Coturnix japonica: one gene and its partners. The protein of the gene in region 2 purifies or fractionates together with the protein of the main gene of each other region. This does not show direct contact. Links are inferred from orthologs where the notes say so. Each region holds a gene or a part of one and is shown on either strand. Other genes may lie near its edges.

Evidence for each region.
Region 1: the proteins of PTPRO (region 2) and SDF2L1 purify together in Homo sapiens (affinity purification with mass spectrometry; 3 studies listed by BioGRID and IntAct, with this or other methods). This does not show direct contact. The link is inferred for Coturnix japonica from reciprocal best matches to the Homo sapiens genes PTPRO and SDF2L1.
Region 3: the proteins of PTPRO (region 2) and DNAJB11 purify together in Homo sapiens (affinity purification with mass spectrometry; 3 studies listed by BioGRID and IntAct, with this or other methods). This does not show direct contact. The link is inferred for Coturnix japonica from reciprocal best matches to the Homo sapiens genes PTPRO and DNAJB11.

What each region holds. Positions count from the first base shown.
Region 1 is NC_029530.1:285,636-291,292, reverse strand, and holds the start of SDF2L1 (stromal cell-derived factor 2-like protein 1), read right to left. Parts: upstream 3,631-5,657; 5' UTR 3,580-3,630; coding exon 3,417-3,579; intron 2,911-3,416; coding exon 2,714-2,910; intron 1,702-2,713; coding exon 1,423-1,701; 3' UTR 1-1,422.
Region 2 is NC_029516.1:57,544,275-57,549,505, reverse strand, and holds part of PTPRO (receptor-type tyrosine-protein phosphatase O), read right to left. Parts: intron 1,730-5,231; coding exon 1,571-1,729; intron 1-1,570.
Region 3 is NC_029524.1:3,281,424-3,287,433, reverse strand, and holds the start of DNAJB11 (dnaJ homolog subfamily B member 11), read right to left. Parts: upstream 3,721-6,010; 5' UTR 3,645-3,720; coding exon 3,577-3,644; intron 3,457-3,576; coding exon 3,300-3,456; intron 1-3,299. Other genes in the region: TBCCD1 (TBCC domain-containing protein 1), read left to right, coding at 3,930-4,325, 4,394-4,543. UniProt on the Homo sapiens protein: As a co-chaperone for HSPA5 it is required for proper folding, trafficking or degradation of proteins.

The DNA of each region.
Region 1 (5,657 bases), on a different chromosome or scaffold from region 2:
AGAACAACAGAGGCTGCTTCTTCTGCAGAATACGAAGGATCTTCACTAGAATCAAACCCTGAATTAAAACTGAAGCTATTCTGTGCAGCACAAGTGTGTGAGGGATCAGCATATGAAGCATGTGTATAGGTACATGTATAAAATGTAAATGAAACTACCTATTACACTGCATCAACACTCTCCACAGCATGTAACTGGAGACGTAAAAGCAGCAAATAACGTTCCTCCTTCATTAACTGACTAATTGGGACCATAGTCAGTAAACTAGTTATACATGGAAAAAACCAACACCTGAATTTGCTGACTTTTCACACTCACTTACTGAGCTTTTCTCTTTAAAGCAATTAGAAAATGTCTGGTAATTTGTGCTTCAGTCAGTATTTCTTGTAATACACTGGAATAAAAGTGTTCAAGAGTTAGATTTTTTTTCCATTCTTTCCACAGAACACAGAAATTAATGCCTCATGCAATGAAGATTCCTTGCTCTACAGATTACCCCTCTGTTCAAAGTCCAGGACCAAACCATTTTCTAAGATTTACTCTCTCCTGGATTCGCACAGCAGAGCCCCACACGGCTGTAAGTCCCACTGCTTATACACCTGGATTCTCATACTGAGCTTGCAATGACATGCAAGAACAACATAAAGCAAATTTATTCACATCACATGGAATTTTATAAAATTCTAACATTAATTAAACAAGTAGGAGCCTTCTGCACCAGTTCCTAGAGCACAAGTCTTACCGTCTGAGAATTAGCAGTATCACAATCAATCAGCAGAAAAAAACCCACAAATTTCTTCAGAGAAAGGTAAGAAATAAAAACTTGTCCTCTTCAACATACACAGCATTTTCAACTTTTCCATAAATACACAACAAAACTCATGAAACACATTGGAAGCAATTTTCAGATGGACTGAAATATTTTTCTGGAAGTAGCAGAATTTGACTCACTTAAGAGACAGCAAGAACTATTTTCCCTTTCTAGACTTACTCCAGCTCTTCATTAATAGCATTCTCTCACTAGCTAGAAATAAGTTTCCAAATATTTAATTATAACTGAAAAAAAATTACAAAATACAAAGTTTTGCGGTACCTGGGACTACAGAGATGTACTACTTTGTTTTTTCAATTTCTTTTGAATTGGAGAAGTAACGACAAAACAAATGACAGAGAGAACTAACACGTATGATCTAGTTTCACCAAATAAGATTGAAGATTTAGATAGGATGTTTTAAATAAACGTAAAATGTCTTAGCCTGGCAGATGTCATTCCCACAGAAGTGCAGCATTCCTAGAATGAACTAATGCCCTTCAGTAACACAGAAAGTCTATCACTTAGGCAAGGTGGGACTTTTTAAGAGACCGAGTATTAGCATCTCTGACCATGGGAGTAGGATGAACCTTATTGGATCCTCTGGCAATTCAGAGCTCATCATGTTTTGCAAGGTCCATACTGGGTTTGATGAAGACTCCTTCCATTGCTTTCCAATAGTTGTGGTGATTAGCGGTGGGCATGCCATGAACTTCCCGTTGGCCTCTAATGGGATGGCCATATTGCTCCCCAGTGATTGAAAGGAACACCTCAGTTCCTACGTGCTTGAAGCGCACTGCATCCTCCCGCTCCCAGTGTGTCCCACTGCATTGCACAATCCATATATCGAGGTCATCTCCTTCACCATCATCACCAAAGGCACTTACTTCCTGTTAGAAACACAAATCTCCTGAAGTGAAAATATAAGCAAACACAACCAATGCACACACAAAAACAACAGCCACAAAGCCAGCAGAATTTAAAGGCAAGGATGCAGAGGAAAGAAACACGGCCCTGCTGTCAGCAGCAATTCAATCCAGAAGCAGTAACTCTGCGACTACAAACTCCACCACATAACCTGAGCACAGTGCCAACAAACCACAACAGACATTAGGAATTAAAGACAACTTGAGCACAGAGATCAGAGCAATCCTTCTGTAAAACAATTTCACTAATGGTGACATCAATTTGTAACTAAGTATCTAATTTTGTAGCACAATGCTTCACAGTTATCACTGCAGCTTTTAATCACAAGGTCCCAACATTTTAACTCATTAATTGTATTCCTTTTATTTTATTATATTAAGATTACAAGTTAACAACTATTTCGGTTTGCACTGCTGAACAGATGACTGAATGGCCCTTTAAAAAATAAAGACGGCCAACCACAAAGGCAAATAAATTCCTGCTAAAACAAAAGTTAGAGATCAGATTTTATTATGTGCCCCCACATAACTCCAAGTATTTTCATAAACCCGGTAGGCTCAGCTCCAACTGTTTAAGACTCAGCACAGACTTAAAAATCAGATGGCTAGAAGTGATTAACCACTTGAAAACAGAACTGCAATAGTTTGTACCTATCAAGCTAATAATATAGGGTCATGTTAATTCAAGCTTGTGCAGTCCGTGCAGTGTCAGTGACAACACACCGATTGAAAATCAAACTTGTTTGTTAGGAATATGAAATAAAAGTTTATACTCAGAACCACGCCTCATTTCAACAAGATAATAAGTCACAGACCAATCAGTCTCTAGGAAACCACTCTGCATATCCAGAGATGCCTTATTTCTGGCATCTGGTATCTAAGACTGATTCTTCAAAACCAAGAAATCTGGAAAGAGGTATTGTCAATTTCAATCACGCACTATTTGTACAAAAACTTATGATTTAGAGCCACTTACCTGGTTATTGGAGAGCGGTGATGGGAAGTGATGAGTGTGTAAGTTTTTTCCTGTGTTTACATGAGTAAGCCGTATTGCCTGCCCGCATCTCACTGGGGTTCCACGCTGGCAGCTGCCATCCGTCTTCCCACGAATCCGCCAGTAACTGTTGGCATCATCTGAAGCTTCAACTCCTGTCACTGACTGCTGCCCACTTCCTGTTGGAACAGAATTAAATGGCAGGAGACCTAACCCGCTTCTGGAGCTCAGAAAGTCCTGGAAGAACGGAAGGAAGCTGCTTTAAACTCGAAGGCGTGACAACACTACGAACACACTTCATTCTCAGTCCTTTTATTGACTCCAATGGGAATGCAGGTACCGTACCCTCCACACTGAAGAACGTAACCGAGGCCGCTGTCTCAGCACAGGGCTCACCTCAGGGAGCGCAAAGCACCACAGAGGCAGGAGATGCGGATCCAGCCGTACGGCCCTGCCGCCCCCCCGCCATGTCTCCCATCCCATCTCACCCCACCCCATCCCACCCCTCAGCCCCATCGCTGTCCCGGTAACAGCCCGGAGCAACGTGCGGCTCATTCCCCGACCCCCCGCAGCCTCCATTTCCCGCCCATTTCCCGCCCGTTTCCCGCTGCCCCTCTCCCGCCATTTCCTCTCCTCCTCAGGGCTCCTCCCGCCCCTTGGCAGCTCCCGGCCCGCTCGTGCTCACCGGAGCCGTACTTGACCTCGTGGGAATGCAGCCGAACGCTGTGCCGGGTGTTGAGCAGCTTCAGCACCGACCCGCAGGTCACAGCGCCCGGCTCCGTGCCGGCACACAGCGCACACAGCGCACACACAGTGAGCAGCGGCAGCAGGCGGCGGCCGCCCCACATCGCGCCGCCACGGCCGGCACCGCCGCCACACAGCGCAGCGCAGCGCGCTTCCGCAGCCCCTCAGCGAGCTCAGCCAATCGCGCCCCGCCAGCACCGCAGTCAACCAATTGCAGCCCTCCCTCCTCACGGTCTCCTTCTCGCATTGGACCACGGCCGACGGAATTCGCTGCTTGGCAGGAGGAGCTCATTGGGCCCGAGGAAAGGAGCGACCAATCAGAGCGAGCGGCGTGGCGCCTCTCAGGGCGGGACGCGATGGCGCGCAGTTACCTCACGGCGCCGTGCCGTACCGTGCCGTGCTGCGGGGCGGCCTTTGCGGGCCGTGTGTGTCCCCCCAGCTCCCAGCCCTCAGTGCGGCTGTGGGCAGCGCGGAGCGTTGCGATCCATCGAGCTGCCCCTTCCTGACAGCGGGGTGTCACAGCACAGGTTGGTTACAGCAGCGTTCTCATCTAGCGCGTAGTCGGGACTGTAAGGGAAATATTACCGGGTTACAGGCCTTGCAAGGAAACACAGACAACTTGTGTGGTAGCACAGCTGTATGTGAGAGCTGCTGGTGCTGGGGCAGCAGTACGGCACAGGCCGCTAACGCTGAGTGCTGTTCGTCTGGCTGTGGTGGTTGTGGCTGTGCTTTTGCACCTGAAAGTTCATCTGCTGCCATTCAGTCCCTTTTGTAAACTTACTACGAGGTAAAGAGATTATTATAACCTGTTATGTACAAAAGGAAACTGGATTAAAGCATTGTACTTCATTGCATTGTACTGCAGAGTGAAGGATTTCCTCCCCTGCAAATAATAACAGTACAGCCGCCTTTTTCAATAGGGAACAGCTATGGACAACGGACACAGGAACTCCTACAAAGTCCATTGGCTTTTGCCTCTGAAACTCATCACTGAATTGACCCGTATCTCAGAACAGTCTGGTGTAACGCTCCCCAGATCAGTGTCATTTAACAGGGGAAAAGCTTCCCTTAGCAGTGCCATAGCATGTAGGAGAGACCTGCCTTGGGATAAGGCATTGTATTCTGCATTGGCAACAGCACAGAACTTCAATATCACAATTATATCATCACGGGATGATTTAGAAAACACATTAGTGCTGCTGGCTGGTGGAAACATCATTTGATGCTCAGATGAGCAGCAATCTTTATCTCTTCCACCAGTCCTGAGGTGACCCCACTCACTGAATGGTCGGGTTTTTTTCATGCTGGCCTGTTTCATGTATCTTAATGTCCGGCCTTAGAAGAAGCCTGTGTCCCAAACACAGTCACACATTCACGTTTGTGTGCACACACACAAGCCCGCTGTGTTTATCTGAGGATTAAAGCTTCCTAGTTGCAGCAGTGTGTTTCTTCACACACACTAAATAAAACATCTTACCTTGATTGCCAAATGCTACATCTCTGTCATTCTAAGAAACCTTGCTAAGACAGGAGCTCACATTTGCAGTCGTTGTTACACACACGGCACAGACAGATGTCCAAGTTGCCATTTTAGCCGTGGAAAATCAATGGTATGCGGCTTTAGCTGGCACCTGTCTGTCCTCCTGGGAGGTCGCTCAGCCTCAGTGCAGTTAGTGCCACGTACACGGTGCTCCCTGCAATGCTTTCGGTTGTACTTTAGAAACGTCATTGGGTTAGAAGTGTCCAGCAGAGAACCCCATCAGTGCCAAATAGCAATGGCAATTAACAGCCACCTCATGGCTACAGGGCCACCATTGTTTCCAGTGGAATACTGTAAGCTGCAGGTAAACCTGCCACTGAGATAATCTAATGGTGCGTGTTGGGAATGGAAATATCAGCATATTTGATTGGAATCTCATCGTGCTGCTGCTTTACACACACACAATAATTCAGCAGCGCTGCAGAAGCGAAGCATCCAGCCTGTAACAGCAGCGCCTTCTGTTTGCAGACACTTAGCCCTGCAATCATTTCACATACTTGATTTTCAAGGACTGAAAGTGCCTCCAGTTTCCACTCAGGTGCAGCTCTAAATATAACCTGGCCCTCCCTGAAGGGCAGTTTTTAATGTAATTGAAACCCGGCTGAGAGCGGGTTGCCCGGTACCTCCTGCCCGCGGGGCCGT
Region 2 (5,231 bases):
AAAGAATAAAAGAAAAAACAAATCAAATGTTTGCTTTCTGATAATGCAACTACACATGCTGAAACAGCAACGTTTCAGATGTTTTAACATTGCTCAGCCTAGTCTAAGACATGAAATACTGATAATTCAGTTTACCAACATTTTCCCTGGATGTGAAAACCACATTGCTGCCCCAGCAAGAGAAATAAGAACTACATTCCACAGGAAAAGCAACTCAACCAGGCAACCTGCTCCATGTGACACTGAGCATCTCAAAGAGCACGTGACAATTCCTGCAGACCTTTAACAATTGCACGCAAAACCCACTTTGGTCTGGTGCTGACTGAGGTACAGTGTTCAGAGGAAAGAGGAGATGTTCAAAGGGCCATCCACAGAGCAGCTGGGCACCAGCTGCAGTCTGAGAACTGAGCTCACATCCAACATCAGTATGTGTGTGGGCTGAAGAGATATTGCTTAAGGCAATTTAGCTGTGGGAAAGAGTATGCTTGCTCATTAGGGACTTTTTTAATTCAAGGTGACTTTTTTATTTATCAGCAGCTGCAGCAGTAGTATTACAGCCTCTGTATATGAGCTGTGAAAGTGAAAAATTGCTGCTTGTATCACCTTTGTTCCCTGTAAAAGGGTCCCTTGTATTTAGGACTATGATCCAGAATCTCCATTCCCAATATCTGGCATTTCAGTCTTACAGATGTTACCCTAATTCTGCTATGCACTGAATCAGTGACACCAAAGTTTTCCATGCTCCTTCTGGAGGTGGGAATCTCCCTCTGCTGACTCCAGAGAGAGCTTACAGTGACCAGGCTGCTACACTGGAAGCCTTCCTTCTATCACTGAAATTCAGTCTATCACCTACTGGACTCAGAGGTGATATTGACACCACGCTGTATTAAACCAGCTGGGGTTTGGGACCTGAAGAGCATGCAGTGCCTATCACCTCTTAGGTGCCTTCTGTAGGACAACCCTTTACATCTTTCATATAAAAATAAATAAATAAATAAATGCTGTGCTTAAAGTTACTGCACGACAGAAGAGCAAAGGGAAGTTCAGATTTTAGCAAAAATAAAAAAATAAAAAAGAGAAGCAGAATTTGTCCTTGTTAGTCTATTTAGATGGCTAGACTGATTGCTGAAATTCTTTAGATTGACTGGCTAGGTTATTAGATTGCTTGTCCTTGGCTGAACTGTTCTAAGAAAGATGAAATTGAAAAATGCAGCAGGTTTATTAGCTCAGGAACAACAAAGAATGTTAGAGTAATACACAATACTACGCAGCATAGAGTGTCACTCAGTGCTACCAGCACTATGTGACTTCATAGTGTTACAGAGATATCAGCTTCAAAGTCTTTCCCAAGAATCAGTTGTACTGAATTATTTCCCAGATAAAGGGCATCTCTAAGCTCCCCCATCAGCTACTCACAAAGAGAAATCAGGACCAGAAAGGAGGAATAGGGAATTGATATTTTCAACCACTACAGAGGCAGAATGTTACCCATTGATTTCAGCAAGTGTAACTAGAAAGCTAAAACATATCTTTGTTAGCAGGAATAGTTAGTGGAATAGTTTCTTCCTACCTTTGTACAGCATTGTTCTGTAGTCTTTTCCTTCCCAATAGCTTATATTTACCCTGGTAAAAACATTGTACTTCTCTGGGTATTGAATTTCAAATAGCACTCCTGTTTCTGGAGATGGTTTGTAATCATAGATAGAAACACTGCTCACAGGAAGGGGTTCTAAATGATACACAAATAAAGGAAAAAAAGGCAGAAAGAAGCAGATTAATAGGCAAACCTATAAAAACAAAATCAAAGGCAGGAATGGTTTTATGTGGAATGACACAGGAACTCTCAAATTTCCTAGGTGACATCTGAGGCTTCACAGAGGTCTGGGGCAAAACCACATGGGATTATGTCAAGGCCAAGGTTATGTTCCCCCCCACACAACATGTTCGTGCACTGAATGCTTTTTTAGAAGAAAAAAACCTCAAAACATTTTAACAGGAAGCTGTCCTTATTTGCAGAGGAGCAGGCATAAAAGTCATGGTTGAAATCACAGTAATTACTTAAGCACTCACAGTCATCACCCCATCAAGATTTTCTTCTTCAGCACTTACTGATCAAGTGCCGAGACAAAAGCAACAAACACTTGAAATTAATCATAATTTTGGCACTAATCTGAACTTCTAAGATGAGCTAAGAAATGCATCAGTGTGACAACCAGAGGAAACTGTCTGAATTATGGTATTGTTCCTGTAAATATTCATTTATATATTTCATGAGTAATTATACAGTCCTGATTCCTAATGTACCTGAGATGGCCACCATCTTTAAAGTACTCATCCACACCATGCTTCTAAAGGATACGGCAGCACCATTGCTGTTATGTTACAGATGAAAAGCTGAGGTACATGTTTACCCAAGGGTATGGGGGTAGCCTGCACACAGAAGGCAGGTAAGTACAGAGCTGCCAGTTACTGCTTTCAGCTCTGACCATGGTGGAGCTATAGAAAGAACAATAGCAAATGCACTTTCACATGCACTCTAGAAGAAATGATAGCAACTACACGTTGGTTAAGAGAGCTAAGCAGCTATTGAATACAGGGTTCTAATTTTACTCAGTATTAGTCATATTAACATATTTTAATAGAAGTAGTTAATACACAACTATCAGTAGTTATGTCCACATCCTTTTAGGTATTATCATGTTGATTTAGATCTTGTGCACAGCAGGGAACAGATTGAAAAATTCAGTGTTCTTTAGCATGGTCTCACTACACTCTTGCAGAACACATCTGAGTACAAAGTTCTTTTGAATACAACTTTCTCCAAAGAGCACACAGTCATGACAGGCAGAAGAGAAGGCAGATGAAAACAGCGGCACCAGCTTCAAAAAGGGAATTGTCTCACAATAGGTGGACGGAACAGGGTAATCGAAGATGGAAAAGCAAGCCTGCTGCACAAGTAGAAATTAAATCCCATTTGCTAGCACAGTATTTTCATGATTGTACTAAGCTTCCATTGACGATAAAAAGCAACAAAGTATAGAAAACACAACCACAAAAATAAATCTCAGCCCAGGTCTTAGGGAGGAGTTGTGTTGCCCCTGTTAACTTTGTCAGAGTACCAGAATACAACACTGTGGGACTTCTAATTTATTTCTCACAGCAAATATGTTTTGTTATCTTCAGGTAACTATCACTATATATGTATGTTAGACACTGAGAAATAGAAATTTCAGAGCTCACTGATACCAAGAGGCACAGCAATGACAGAATCTGTGAAAATCTTGCTGACAATTTGTGATAGCTTAGAAATAAACGGGAGCAAAGACGGTCATGGGAAACAATGCCTACCCTCTTCTTTCTGCTGAATCTCTTTCCATCACTTATTCTGAAATAAACAGTTGAGCTGGCAATCCCCATGACCCGATACTTCATATCACATTTCACAAAGCACATGATAGTGGTTCAAATGTCAACAGCAATCTCTACATGGCACAGCCCTTACAAGCAGCCATCTTTCATGTTAGCAGGCATGTCCCAGGCTTCTGCTATCTCATTCCAATCTGGGTCTCCTTATTTCTGAAAGAATTACTGAAACTTCCCTGAGTTAGTGATTGAATTACCCAATTTATTTCTTCCTACAACAAATCAAATAAAAGATGGGAGTTACATTCATTTTTAATCTGAATGATTTTTCCTCCTGATGTCTTGATACAATTAGCCAATAATTGAATTAAACGGTAATCACCACAGACTCTCTTTCTTGTTGTTATCTTCCGCTTACTGACTTCTCCTTGCTCATGGCTGATGCTAGCAGAGTAGTTTGACTGATATAATGCAATTTAAAGAGTCTTCCATTATCTTCCTTCCTTCAGCACCAAATATTCACATCAAAAGCTATTTGCACACTGTGAAATTGAAAGGATACTCAGCAGATAAAAATCATGTTCAAGTTTTTCACTTACTAACAGTTCCTGGGGTTATTAAAGCTCAAGGAATATGTAAAATGTCACTCTTCAACGTTTATACTTATAATTCAGAACATAAACAGTTTGGTCTTTTTCATAGTTTCAGATAGAGTATTCAGGATTCAGTTTTCCATAGGTTTTATTGGTTCTCAAGAAATAGCTTAAATAAGGTATGATCTAATACGTTCATAGGAAAAAGTAGAAGCATCAATGATATTGATGTTGAAAGACATATTAAGGAAGGAACTATAGGATTTTAGTTTCCCTTTAGTAACATGTTTAAGGCTCTTATTTTGTGCTCAGTGTCTTTATTTTTAGACATCTAGACTATATTAAACTCATGTAGACAAGCTTGCAGGACCAAGACTGAAGTTCCTTTATTCTAATCTCACATTCTGCTGCTCCTGAAGCAACTGTTTTCCAGTTATAACTGTTTATGGGAGATTTAACTTCTGCATTTCTCCTGAATATTGCCACATTTTGCATTTAGCACATACCTTGCATTATAAAAACAGATAACATAATAAATGCTTCTAGCCTCTCCCTCAAATGCCATGGCAAATTCTGGAGGCTAAATCCTCCATAAACACATTCAATCTGTGCCAGATACATCCATGTTTTAGGTGGTTTTTGCAATTCAGGGGAGGAAAAAGGACATTGAAAATAAGTACCAGAGTCCAGGCCAAATAAATTTGTTTTTAATATTCACAGACCTGCCTCTATAGACAGGGAACTGATGTTTTGTTAATGTAGCAGATTAGATCGTGTAGTATTACACGTGGCTGGATGAGATGGGAATTAGATCAACTGTCTTGCTTCTCACACTCAAACCTAGATTAATCATGGCTAATCTTAATAACACAACTCTCCAAAGAGAGAAGTCTCAGTAGTGGAGTGATGTAAATCTTACAGGTAATGGCCTTTAATCACATGAAGAAGCTGTGAACTAGGTAATATCATCACCAGGATGACACTGTTTACCTATTTGCATCGCTAATGGGAGTAAGCCATAGCCAGTACAAAGTTTTCATTTTGCTGTAAACTTTAGGGACAGTTTTATCTCTTGTTAAAAGGCAACCAGTTTTGAAATTTAATAGCTGCTGTTTAATACTTCAAGAACATAACGTTCAAGTTTATGATATGTAATAGAGGATATCGTGTGTAACTGCTTACAAAAGTGGAATGTAAGTGCAAGTGGTATCTGAGCAATGATGCAATTTCTATACTGCAGTTTCTAGATGCCCACATAAGATGACAAATATGAAG
Region 3 (6,010 bases), on a different chromosome or scaffold from region 2:
ACAAAGCTCAAAGAGGAGCCTTTTCAGAGCTCTTAGATGGGGGGCAAGTAGAAGTGCATTACAGCACAGAAGCATTGGCTAGAACTTGCCTGCTGTGCTTGGAAATTAAACATTTCTTGTGTTGTTTAACCTCATAAAAGTTAGAATTAATATATTAAAATGGCAGATGCAACACAGAGGATATTAAAAATATATTGAGTTTACTCTGAATGAGTTGAGAGAGACTCAGAAGGGGATAATAACTCAAAATCATGTCTTACAAAGCAGGAACTGCTCCTCTGTGAAAAGAAGAAAATCACGTAACATGTAATAGAGCCCTGGTTTCTCAGTTCTTTAAGCACGTGGAATTCATTTATCTGACACATAGTTCATAATTATTAGCAATGACAGCAAGTTTGCCTACCAAGCTGAACCTGCTGAGTACAATAACTCCACACCAACTTCAACACTGACTCAGTTCCTATGGGCAGCAAAATTCAGGAGCAATCTCAGTCCTGAGGTAGAACAGTGCATCCCAATAGACAGCACTCAAGGTCACAAAGCTTCAGTTTTAATTCCTAGGTATTATCTTTGCTTTTATTCTCCACTCCACAGATTTCCAGCCAGATTTTGCCTTCCTTCCCTTTCCTGGCCCACTGGCTATTTTTTGGAAGGCTGAAGTTGCCAGGTTAGATTTCAGAGAGGAATGGAAACAGCTGGAGAAAAGCTGGTTTAATGATGAAAGGCAGCCTCCAATTGTAGGTAATGATAAATGCCAGCAGCAAGAGAGGTTAGAAGAAAAACAAAACAGTGACTTGAAGTACTGGCTTCACCTTTCCAGGACTAAAGGTTAAGAGCTCAGCTCTCCCTGTGCCGCCTAAGATATGCAACACAACACCCACCTGAGAAAACTGGGTTAAGTTCCACAGTCCATTAATAGACTACTAACAATGTTACAAGAAAGAAAGGAATAAAGAATACAAAATATTTGCTTTTCCATTCACTTTGCTTCCTTAGCAGGCTTCTGGAGGTTCAAGAACACAGCACTCCAAATACTGTATAGAGTTCTTGCCCATGTTAGGTTGCCTCAAAAGCAATGCAATTCAGCAGATAAGCTGAAAACCAAAACCAAGATGAACTCCAGCCCCCAAACCACCCTGACACTAACAGGTGCTACGTGAAGAAGCCTCTTAGCAAAAGAACTCCAGGTTTTATGCTGAAGAAATCAGGCTCTGTATTTTAGTAGCACCTTGGCAAGGGAAAGGAAGGTAAATTGTCACCACTCAATTTTTGCTGCCTCTGCCACTACGTCCTATACTGTTTTATGATTTTACAGCTGCTTCTTCCCTAATATTTTGCTGTAGGAAAGACCCTTTCAACTGCTTCTGTGGTAAGACATAAACTGGAACCCCGAGAACACATAAACGCTCCCTGTGCATTAAGCGCTGTCAAGTACAACAAGGCCCCAGCTCACATAAACTACACCAAGCCCACAGCTTTGAAGCATGAATCAGCCTTCAAATCAAAGACGGTAAATTCCGCATCTCCCACCAAAGAATTATTTACACTCACCAACTTTGTTGTGAGACTAAGTTAACTTATTTAAGAATAGAAGTCTGAACTAAAAGGAACTGTATGACGCACACAAAAAAGTTAATGTCTTTCTTCTGAAAACATTCAAGCTGCTTCTCACCTCACTTCCTCAGTCATTTTATATTTACATGCCAGAAGAAGGAAGCAGCAGCAGGGACAGCAGCAGGAACCTATGGCCACAGGTTCAGCTACAGCATCAGCCCAGGTAGGAAGATAATCCCTTTTACTCCTAAAGATAACAATGGGATACAGATTGTCCTATGGCCTGGCTCCTCAAAGCTAGCACAAACCTCCTACCTAAACTGACAGCTCTTCCTCAGGAGCTTTCCTCTGTTCTATGAGGAGAAGCAGGAAGAAACCAGCAGAAGGGGCCAGGTTCTTATCAGTGGTGTGCAGTGACAGGACAAGGGGCAATGGGCAAAAACTGAAACACAAAGCTCCATACAATCACAAGGAATAATCAATCTCTATGCTGTTGAGGGTGACAGAGCACTGGAACAAGCTGCTCACATTGGTTGTGCAGTCTCCTTCCTTCTCTAGAGGCGTTCAGAACCCACCTGGATGCTTTCTTGTGCAATCTACTATAGGGAACCTACTCTAGCAGGTCTGTTAACTAGATGGGACCCAAGGTCCCTTTTAACCTCTATGATTCTGAGATGGGAAGCTAAAGGACAGAGGACATGAAGGAAACACAGCCCACCATCCACAGCAGAGGGAAAAGCAGACTTTGACTTACAAATGTTGGGTAATAAAACAGTTTATGTGTGATTTATGCAGTGTGTGATGCTAGAAATATGAATTATTACTTAAATGCTATGCCTTAGGATAGATATAACAGAATTCATTAAGCATACGGGGCTTCAGCAATGACTTTTCACCCTTCAACATGTTTACTAGAAGGCGACCAACAGCCTTTCACTTCCTACCAGCCAAAACTTACAGTCACGCTCTACACATACAAACAAATGAGTTCCTGTGCCAACACTCACAGCTGATGCATTCCCTTTTTGTACTCAAACAACTATTAATAAGATCAAACAGCTCGAGCTCCGCACACTCCCCCAGCAAGGTGAACTGCTGCCCTTTATTGCCCTCAAACAAGCGGACTTCCCAGGTCAGCCTGGCAGCCTCTCTGCTTTGTTATCAGGCATCACACCTGAAATTCAACACAGCGTTTAACAGGTGAGAAGGGATGACAGCAGCGCCCCATAGGGAATCATTTATGTGGGAATTCGTCCCTGAGTCTTGACCTCATTGCAGCCTTTCAGTACCTGAAGGGAACTTACTCCCAGGAGGGGAGTAAACTCTTGGAAAGGGCTGACAATAGCAGGACACGGGGAAATGGTTTTAAGTTAAAAGAGGGAAGATTTAGGTTGGATGTTAGGGGGAAGTTCTTCACTAGGAGAGTGGTTAGGCCCTGGAACAGGCTGCCCAGGGAGGTTGTGGATGCCCCGTCCTTGGAGGTGTTCAAGACCAGGTTGGACGGGGCCCTGGGCAACCTGATCTAGTAAAGGTGTATGTTTGGTGGCCCTGCCAGGCAGGGGGGTTGGAACTACATGATCCTTGAGGTCCCTTCCAACCCGGCTCATTCTGTGATTCTGTGACAGCCGTTCTGGACCTGCACATTGCCCTGACAGCCACAGGACGGTGCCTCAACGCCTGGTCCAGCCCGTTGTACCACTCGGTTCCCTCCTGAGCCCCCTTCCCCGCCCACAGCCCATCCCCACCTCATAGGCAGCCCCCAGGTCCTGGAACTTCTCCTGTGCCCGCGGGTCGTCGGGGTTCCTGTCGGGGTGCAGCTGCAGCGCCAGTTTGCGGTACGCCTTCTTGATGTCCTTCACGGAGGCGCCTCGGGACACCCCCAGGATCTTATAGAAATCCCTCCTGAGGGGCGAGACAAGAGAGAAGGCCCCGTCAGCTGGGCCGGGCCGTGCGCTGTGGAGCCGCAGGCCTATAGGAAGGAGGGAGGGGATAAGGGAAGAACAGCCCCCCGGGAGCACTCACCCGGCGGCGGCCTCCCCGCAGAGGCAGAGCAGGAGCAGACACACTCGGCCGAGCCAGCCGGGGGCCATGGCCGGGCCGACAGGAGCCCGCCGCCCGCAGCCCGTCCCTCACACACGAAGCCGGCGCCCGGCCGCAGCCGCCAGCCAATGAGAGCGCGACCCAACCATAGCCGCCAGCCATTGGGGAGCGGCCCGGCCCCGCGCGGATCGAGCTGACAACCAATCGCTTGCGCACACTTCACCACCGCCTCGCGGCCGCGGCCCAATCGCATCGCAGAGAGCCGGAAGGAGAAGACGCCGACCAATCGCAAGGCGTGTCGCTTCTTCCCGCCTCCGCGCCGGCTCCGGTAGCCAATGGCGAGCGGCTCCCGAGGGGAGGCGGGAAGCGTCGTCTGGTTGGTTGGCGGTGCTGTCATGGCGGCCGCCGTGTCGCTATGGCCGCGGACGGAGCCGCTGCTGCTGGGCGCGCTGCCCGTGCCGCCCCCCGCCCGCTTGGGCCCACACTACCTGCGCAAAATGGCGGCGTACACGCGGGCGAGGGCGGCCGAGGGCTGTTACCCGCGGCTGAGCTGGCCGCGTTGGCGGTACATCGCCTGTGATAAACTGCAGCTGGGCCGCGACCTGGCCTGGCTGTACTTCGAGCGATTCCACGGCCTCCTCCCTCCTCCCGATCCGCCCCGCAGGCTGCAGCGAGCCGAGGCCGAGGCGGCGTGTGGGAACGGCGAGGAGCTGGAGCGGGAGCGCGGCAAGGCAGGGACCGGGGATGGGGAGGGAGCGGGGCGGCCGGCGGCACCTAACGGCATCTCCCCTCTCGGCAGCTCGCCGTGGACACGCTGCGCTTCCTGCTCTTCCTCTACCTGCAGCAGCTGAACAAAGCCTCCCTGAGGACGTCCCTCATCGGCGAGGAGTGGCCCAGCCCCAGGGCTAGAGCTGCCGGGCTGCCGGGCAGGGCCGCGGGGCAGAGCAAGGTAATGGGGCTGTGGGGAGGGGAGGCTGCTCTACTGGGCCTCCCTGAGCAGAGCGAGCTGCCACCCCTTATAGAATCACAGAACTGTAGGGGTTGGAAGGGACCTCTAGAGATCATCGAGTCCAACCCCCTGTCAAAGCAGGCTCCCTACACCATGTCACACAGGAAGGCGTCCAGGCGGGTCTTGAATATCTCCAGAGAAGGAGACTCCACCACCTCCCTGGGCAGCCTGTTCCAGTGCTCCGTCACCCTCACTGTAAAGAAGTTCTTCCACACATTTGTGCAGAACTTCCTATGCTGTACTTTCATCCCATTACCCCTAATCCTGTCCCCACACACTAATGAAAAGAGACCAGACTCACCACTATGGCTCCCACATCTCAGGTATTAATAAACCTGGATCAAGTCCCCTCTCAGCCTTCTTTTTTGAAGGCTAAACAGACCCAGTTCCCTAAGTCAAGGAAAATAGTGGAAATGGAAATAGTGGTGAGGGTGGTGACAGCAGAAGGGATAGGGACGGGAATGGGGATGGAAGTGGTGGTGGGGACCGGGATGGGGAGAGCGGTGGGGATGGAGCTGGCAGCGGGGATGGGGACGAGGTCGGAGCTGGGGACACCAGGAGGGGTAGGGATGGGGCCGGTTTATTTATAGCTGATAAATTTGATGTATTCCATGTAACTGTTGCTAAAACGTCAGTAGTTATATCCACGTAAGACACACCCATATATAACCTGGAGAAGGAGGCTGAGGGGAAGGCCTCATTGCTCTCTACAGCTCACGGAAAGGAGAGCATAGCAACTTTAGGTTTATTCTCAGAGGTAATGGTGATAGGATGAGAGGTGATGCCCTCAAGATTCACTAGGGAAGGTTAAGTTTGGATATTTCTTCTTGGAAAGAGCAGTGAGATGCTGCACAGGGAGGTGGGGCAGTCACCATCCCTGAAGGTGTTCAGACCTGTGGGGCTGTGGCACTGAGGGACGTGGGCAGTGGACATGGTGGAGTGGGATTGGTTACTTGTGAAGCATCTCTCATAGTCTTTGTGGTTCTCTTTTTAAGAAGCTGTAGCCTCTGCACTTCCTTTCCCTTTAAAATTTGAACTAACGCTTCTTTCAGAGGCTGGTTGGTTTATTGGTCCACTTGCTAGTGAAGGAATGACCCTCTGCTTTTTATTATTATTATCTCTGGCTCCACATCAGAAGCACTCAATCATAGCTGAAGGTCTGGAGCAGATGCAGTGATGTTTCCAACAGATGCATAGCAAGACCTTGGCTGTCAGTTACTGATTTGTTTCCTCCCTTCACTACTAGCAGCAGCTGCCTGAATCTGTGTGGGAAGGATTGCAGGAGAATCTGCTTTTGCTTTCTAAAATGAAATACTTGATACTTGGACTTAGAATGACACCACATTTCTTTTTCTTCTTGCTCTTGATGCTGAATCCAGCTTCCTTTCTGTGTGTGGAAAGAGAGCA